Linked DNA regions of Daphnia pulex. The protein of the gene in region 2 purifies or fractionates together with the protein of the main gene of each other region. This does not show direct contact. Links are inferred from orthologs where the notes say so. Each region holds a gene or a part of one and is shown on either strand. Other genes may lie near its edges.

What was found. Proteins that work in one complex are often made in the same cells at the same time.
Region 1: the proteins of DNA polymerase epsilon subunit 3-like (region 2) and bromodomain adjacent to zinc finger domain protein 1A-like purify together in Drosophila melanogaster (affinity purification with western blotting; 3 studies listed by BioGRID, with this or other methods). This does not show direct contact. The link is inferred for Daphnia pulex from reciprocal best matches to the Drosophila melanogaster genes Chrac-14 and Acf.

The regions. Positions count from the first base shown.
Region 1 is NC_060028.1:6,186,156-6,190,612, forward strand, and holds the end of bromodomain adjacent to zinc finger domain protein 1A-like, read right to left. Parts: coding exon 4,042-4,457; intron 3,974-4,041; coding exon 3,764-3,973; intron 3,708-3,763; coding exon 3,269-3,707; intron 3,177-3,268; coding exon 2,900-3,176; intron 2,816-2,899; coding exon 2,717-2,815; intron 2,657-2,716; coding exon 2,558-2,656; intron 2,489-2,557; coding exon 2,329-2,488; intron 2,265-2,328; coding exon 1,912-2,264; intron 1,848-1,911; coding exon 1,614-1,847; intron 1,002-1,613; coding exon 808-1,001; intron 596-807; coding exon 432-595; intron 361-431; coding exon 285-360; 3' UTR 32-284; downstream 1-31.
Region 2 is NC_060025.1:6,579,721-6,582,863, forward strand, and holds DNA polymerase epsilon subunit 3-like, read right to left. Parts: upstream 1,600-3,143; 5' UTR 1,452-1,599; intron 1,251-1,451; exon of another isoform or gene 1,228-1,250; 5' UTR 1,217-1,227; coding exon 1,031-1,216; intron 960-1,030; coding exon 875-959; intron 817-874; coding exon 620-816; 3' UTR 543-619; downstream 1-542. Other genes in the region: E3 ubiquitin-protein ligase LRSAM1-like, read left to right, coding at 1-197, 267-386. UniProt on the Drosophila melanogaster protein: Accessory component of the DNA polymerase epsilon complex. Participates in DNA repair and in chromosomal DNA replication. Histone-like protein which promotes nucleosome sliding of ATP-dependent nucleosome remodeling complexes.

The sequences.
Region 1 (4,457 bases), on a different chromosome or scaffold from region 2:
ATGTCAGTAAATGGAACCATTGGGCTGTTGATTAAACTTAAATGAATCTCATTTAGCATTGTTACATATAGCTAATCGATTTCAAGTGTATTTCACTGTTATTCAAATTTCCGAACTTCTTACTGTTTTAATTGGAAACGCAATCGACAACCCATTGACGGTCGCCAGAATTTTAACATAAAAGAGACACGGTTTTATCCAATATTTCCATCGGGGTTGTCGAATGAATGACTTTTTAGGGGGTGGTAGGGAGAGTTGGATTTGTAGGAAAATTGGTTCAAATGTTAATCCGTTGGCATCATCTTGATACCTAGTTTTTCTAACTGCTTCTCAGCGTATCGACTCAGGTTGCGACCACATCTGGTACAGACAAACACATTTGTAAAAGCCAACAATTTAAAAACTGCTGATCAAAAGAAATATTAACTTACTTGTATTCATCGGCAGCGTCGTTATTGTAAGTATAGCAGTTCGTGAATATCAACTGCAAATCCTTGACGAAATCTTCCGCCGTCTTGTACTTTATACTGTTGAGTTTGTACTTCATTGTACCAAGATCCATAGCTTGTTTAATAACATGATGATAGTCCGGAGCCTGAGAAAAATTACACACAAATCAAATTACTGGAATATTTTCAAATTAACGAATAGGGAAAATGATACGTAATTATGAATTCTTTGAAACGGTTTCATTTGTTTCAAGTTACAGTCACAATGATCTCAGAAAAAGTCACGTTACGAGAAATACGATAGGGCAAACTCTTGGCGTGAACTATAAAACGGCTATAAATCTTATCAATATTTTACCTCTGCTCTGGTGACGGGTTTGAGGAAAGGCCAACTATCGACATGACTGCTCAAATCGGCCAATAGCTGTAGTAAATCAGCCAAGTCAACAAACCCGGAAGGAGAAGTTGCGGAAGGCAATGGCAATGGACGACTCCTTTTCCGATGTGCTGCTGCATTCCACTTGCTGTTGTTGTCACTATTACCGCTTTCGTCTAAATAGAAATGAACAATTTAAGATTTGTAACCAGGCGTCAAAACATTCAGTCGTAACAATATTTGTAGGATGGGATTTGGTAATAAGCTATGAATAAGGAAATTTGTGCGGCAAATCTAGTGTCTTGATTAGATTGAATCTACTTGAAATTAAAGCTGGGTTCCGAACTAAATTTCATTTCGAGCAGTTTTTAACTAGACGTGAACAGACACCTAAGTTTACTTTGTCGTCAAGGGAAACCTATAATGACATCGCAAGTCCATTGTTTTTGTACGAAGGAAAAAATAAATCAGTCAGGTAAAAGTGGTTGATCCTTTTATTACGAAAAATAGCAGGAAGCGGCGAGGCTTCACAACTGACATCTTCCAAAAAATGAAACAAAAAAGTACGTCACAAGGCAGTGTCAAAGTCAAGGCCGAGAGGTTAAGATGATGAGCGGAACAACCTGGGGTAGTGGGGGGGAACTGATATAAAGAAAAAGTAGTCGTTGTGCAAGGTAAGATGAAGTAAAAGTAGTCGTTGTGCACGGTAGGAGGAAGCGTGAAACGCGGTAGTAGTGTTCGTTATTTGATTTAAATAGGCGTTTACTTGCGGTAAAGAAATCTCTTACCATCGTTGCTGTCCCCTCTGAGTCGCTTGGAGGATTGAGCAATTTTGTCAACAGCTTCTGCTGCCGAACGGCGTTTGCCTAGGGCCAAGTCAGCGGGTGACTTGGATCGTACAGGCTCGGTTTGCGTACGCTTACGCGCACCAGCATGCCTCCCCATATCCTTCACTTCTTCATCAAAATCGATCGCATGACGGGTTCGTGAGATTCGGGCAGAACCGGTCCGACCGTCAGAATCTGATCAACAGAGAAAAATTATAGTAACAGCTTAACATTGAAGAGCACATGAAATAGTTTCTACTTTTTTCTCGTAGTTTGCCTCTTTCTCTATCCTGGGGAGGTGTCTTGCACTGCGGACAAGACCATTTGCCTCTTGGGACCTTTCTCAGAGGCGGGTTGATGCATTCTAAGTGATAGACGGCTGGGCATGTGTCACAGCAAATAACCTCTCCACCTTCTTGGCAAACTGGGCAGATTTCATTATCTACTGATTCTACATCACTTTCACCCTCCTCCGCTTCAACTTCGGCTTCCTCTTCGCCAGCATCCGCTTCTTCTTCTTCAACAGCCTCGTCCTCGGATTCTTCAGAAAAGACGCGACGTGCTTTACGAGGCGTTCGAGGCTTTTCACGGGGTTTGCACTCGGCACAGAACCTTGAATAATAATAAGGTTATTTGAAATGAGTTCAACGAACATGTTAACGCTTATTAAATTTACCAATCTCCTTCTGGTACAACGGTGAGCAAAGGTTTCAAGCAATACATGTGGTGTCCTTTATCACATCCATCGCAGAGCAACATCTTTTCCGGATCTCCTTTACGACGACAAATACGGCATCGAGCATTCAACGCTGAGCGATTCCATGTAATACTGTTATCTTTAAATATTCAAAGCATTTAGTAGAATATATATTGCACATAAATACGTAAATATATATCTAACTCACCTAATAGCGCTAAGTGAACGTACAACTGTGACAAACTCGTGCATGCATGTAGAGACAACTCCCATTTTTCTAACGGCGTTCGTACTGTTTTCGGTTCCGCTAGAAATAGTATTAAAATCAGCTATTTTTGTTATGACATGTCATAAGACGTTATCTTACTTTTGGCATCCGTCTTGTGATCCGGCTCCTTGTGGTCTTCCCATTTTTTCATCGCTTCTTCGGCTTTTAGTCGTTTTTTTCTTTCTTTCTCATCTTCTCCTGAAAATAATTTTTAAATTAATCACTTCGACTACTAAGTAAATCTCAATCAAACCAAATCCAGCTAATAAAATACTGACTTACCTAGAGGTTTCTTCAGATACTTGGTTTCGACACTTTGAGCTAACTGAAGTAAGGAACATGCTAGATCCACAACGCACTTTCTGGCAACGGCATTAGCAGTGGTTTCTGCTTCCACCGAAGAGCTTGTTTCGGAGCGGTTATCTTCATCCTCGGCATCATTGTGTTCAAGCTTTGGGTGTGTCTTCGTTTCCAGTTTTCCACCCCAAGTTAGAGTTTCAACCTGCGAAACAAACTTCCTTTCTTCTAAAGACGTTCTCCATGCGTTTCGGTCTTTGACCTAGTAAAATATTTATATGTAGATGAAATTGGATTTGTTTTTAAACACACAAAGATGTTATTGATGTAAATTAATCATTTAATCTACTGTACCTTCAAGGATCCCAAGCCGCCAACAAAAATTTTCTCTTCAGTCTCAAGAACCATATCAACTAGTGTTCGCTCCATGATCTCCTCGACGGGAGTACCGGCAGGAAAGTAAAGGTTGATATCGTATTCTTTCTCCTTTCGTATTTGTCTGGTGGATTTGCGAGTTTCACCTTCGAGTTTAACTTCAGGCCTTGAATTATCCAAACGGTGGACAAAGCACTTTGTGATTCCTTCTACGATTCTTTCCTTTTCTCGAACCATTGCATTCTTCAATACACTTTCACGTTGCCCTCGTTCATTAAGGCTCAGTAGGATTTGATCAACGAAATCGACATTTTCATAGAATGACCATTTTGTTCGTGAAAGGTAGGTGGCGTGGACAGGGCAGTTCGTCGGATTAGAAGTGCAAACACCAAAAATTTTGGGCCTAATTTTCAAAGAACTGTTAAAATGATTATACGTAATAATATAAAATGTAAAATGAAATGCAATACTCACTTTTCGCAGACAGGTTCGGTTGAGATATCATTTTCTTTATTCGCTGCTTTAAAAAATTTCCTAATGTCTTCTTTGCATTTGCTGGGATCAATCGGCAATCCGTTTGGTTTTGGCATGGAATAGGGCGTGGGTTCGGGTAAACAAGTCCCAACGTAGTCATCATCATGTTCCACAAACAACCCGGGAAGTGATTCAAAAACCCAAAACCTCCTAAAAAAGAAATGAATATTTAGTTTTTTGATTTGATTAGTCTCATTCCACACCAATGCACTAAATACCTGAAAGCACGATCTTGTCCAAGAGGTGCCAAATGAGTCATGGCTGTCATCCTGAGAATTTGTTGGCGAAGTTGCTGCTCCTTCTTGAGAACCTCCCCTTTTCTTTTGGCAGTTTCTTGTAGCAACCTTTCTAACTCTGTTCCATCTTCGGTGTTACCGTTCTCTTCAGAGCGTAATTTGGCTCGATTAATGATATCTTCTTTTCTCATACGTCTCTCATTGGCATGCAGAGCTTTCAGTTCTTGACGTAAATGGATTAATTTAGTACTCTTTTCTTCGAGTATGTCTCTTATTGATGCATATGTGAGTATTTGATGACAAAGGCATTTGATAACTTTCATTTTATCACCGACGGGCAATTCGTATACCGTGCTGTGAGACAAGGCATGTAGAATATGAGGATCTTCCTGACGCAA
Region 2 (3,143 bases):
AGCGACAGAACCAAGCGGCCGACTATTGGCTTGTCCAGTATCAGCGTCTAATCGATAACATGCCTGATAATATTCAACATGCACAACAGTATCTTCCAAGTGCGCCTTCCTCTGTACTCGATGATGAGGAGGTGGCATCCGCTCCTCCGATGGAAGTTTTTATGGAAACTAATTGCGTCATATGCTTGGACAGTTCAGTAAGCTTACATTTATTACAGTTCAATTTTTCAAAACGAATTCATTCTAATTGCATTTATATTAAACAGTGCCAAGTTATATTCCTTTCTTGTGGACACTTATGTTGTTGTTCTGGATGTGGCAACAAGCTAAATCAATGCCCAATGTGCCGGGCAACCATCGTTAAACGACTGCAGGTTCACTCATAATGTTATTTATTTGCTTTTTAGCTTTTCATCGGTCATATCTTTGTGCCTTTGGCATCCTAAAAAAAATGTTTTCTTCATTTTTATCTTGTCTGTTGCTACTGTCGTTTCGAGACGTAAATCACACTTTAATTTTCACAGTATACAAACTATTTGAGGTCGTGTTTTTTTTTCTTTTATTAATTTTTTTGTCGTGCGAATACAAATTTTATCACACATTTTTTTGTCATTTAAGATCATTCATCCACTTCTTCATCCTCATTCTCCTTTTCATTTTCATTATCATTTTCATTGTCATTTTCATTATCATTTCCATTATCATTTTCTCCACCTTCATCTGATCCTTCTTCAATATCTTCCGGTTTTTTGTCGGATTTTTCCTGTTTCCGTTTAGCCATAGCTTCTTTGCGTTCCTTCTGTGCTTTCTTGTACACTGTAAAAGAAAAGAACATGTTGACATTCTAAAAATTGTTTTGAAAAAGAGAAATTACCTTCAAGAGAAGCCTGTAGTGGTTCAATAAATCTTTCAAATTCCATGTCAGCCATTGCTCCCAGGACATCCGGGCCACTGATGATCTTTATTTAACAAAAAAATTTTAGTAAATAATTGAGAGAATGGAACAAAATTTTCTGATTCTGTGATTCACCTTTCTGTTAGCTTTCATAGCCAGATTGTTAGAGCATGATGTGCAATAGAGAACAAATACAGAAGCAGCTTTAGCAATGGCGGTTCTAGCCTCTTTAGACACATTAACACCTTCTGGCAAGGATTCTTTTATGATTCTTGCTACTATTGAGTTGGGAAGGTTTAAGTCTTCAGGTCGTTCTGCCATTGCTTACGTACCTGGGAAAATCAAAACAAAATTCCTGTCATCAGCTAGATACATTAGTTGAACAAAACATATATTTCATCATATGAATTCTATTCAAATCAATAAAGAGAGAAAATGTCACTTATTATTTCAAATAATAACACCATTTAGTCATTTCCAAGAGATTTCTAGAAACTTTTTAAAAAATTAACTACACTTGTTACAAGATTTTCATAGGAAAAAGAAAACATCCTACCTGTCAAAACTTCTCCTACAATAATTTATTTCCGATTATACCGAAACCAACACTCCGACACTTGAAAACTTCAGATTTTTGCTGAAACAAATACACAGTCACAGTTGATGATTTCGATGTTGCTTCTGCTACAATAAAGGGCGGGAAAATAAGAAGTGCCAAGACCACATCGCCATCTGTGAGTAATATTCTAACCGTTTGCACAAATAAGTTTTTCGCCCCCGTTAGACCAGCAGTCGCGAGTCGCATAATAAAGAGGCGTATGATAAAGATAAATAATAATTTTTTTTATGTAGCACGAAGAAGATAAGCAGATCTTAATATATGAACAGACAAGATATAGGTTAAATATCAAACTAGTGAAATATCAATTTTATTACACCAATATTTAGTATTTACAGTACATTGTTGCTTCAGCAGCTTAGATTGGTTATTCTAACTTGAACCGATTTTGTTTTACTAGTATTATTTATTGTATCTTGAACAACACTTGGATGTTAAAACAAATCGACATGAAAATTTTAACAATCGTGATCACTTCTGTTCTTATTAGATTCAATAACGATTTTGACGGAATGGATGGAGATCACCAAATATGACGTACGCAAAAGACGGCAAAAGATCGTTAGACTTGTCGTTAGATAGTGTCAAGAGCGGCATGTGTAATAGGATAACAAACTTTCCTCCTTTTCGCCAAGCCACTCTACATCTCCGAGTCAAAGGGACCCAAACTTCCTTTAGCAGCCAAAAGTTAGATTTCCATCGATGCTAATCTTACAAGGGAATGACTGTTGTGTGTACCTGAAAACTTTTGAATGGATAATCGCTTGCTATACACCCGTATATAGCCTATAGGGAATAATAGATTGCCAAACGCCGAAATTACGAGAAGTTAGATTATTGATTTGCGACTCTAACTTTCACTTATAAAATTCGTTTCTCGGAAACCTCCTACCATCCCCAGTCGCCTACAAATCAGGTCATGGAATTCAAGACAAGTTTGATCCAAAGATATATTTTCAAATCCTACACAAAGTGTGAGAGTCGGGAATCAGAGAAAAGGCAGGATATGCCCCGGGATACTACTCATCCACTCCGACTCCAGGCAACGGATACAAAACTGATATACGCTGTGTCGCTGTCTACCATTGGCCCCTTCAGACCTACATCCGCCCACATCGGAAACTGTAAATCAGACGTGGATGGAAAAACAAAAAGTTGAAGAAATAAGTCTGACGCTCTTTTGAATGAGACGGATAAATGAACAAGTTTTGCTTACTCCCAAGTTTCTCTATAAATAAATAACAACAATTTAAGAAACAAATCTCTACTAAAATAATGGTTCATCTTTTTTTTTAAATAGACTAGGTAATCAAACTGTCTTTAATCATCGTTAATTTCATATATAATTTTTCCGATCTCAAAATTTTTCAAAGACATCAATCGCATCATTTTTTATCCTGTATATTTTTATCCGCGTGGGCGTACACCAGCAATCATCCCATCAGGATTTAACACGGGAGTTTTGTTTTTTGTTTTTTAATTTCTCATCCTTGACACGCGTGACAGACTTTCTTGTCAAAAAGTTTGACATGCGCTTTCCCGTTAACACATTTTGTTAGAGATCGGCCGTGTGAACTGTCTGTGAGCACTTGGCGACGAATAAGATAATCAATTGCTTCGCGCCTTGTT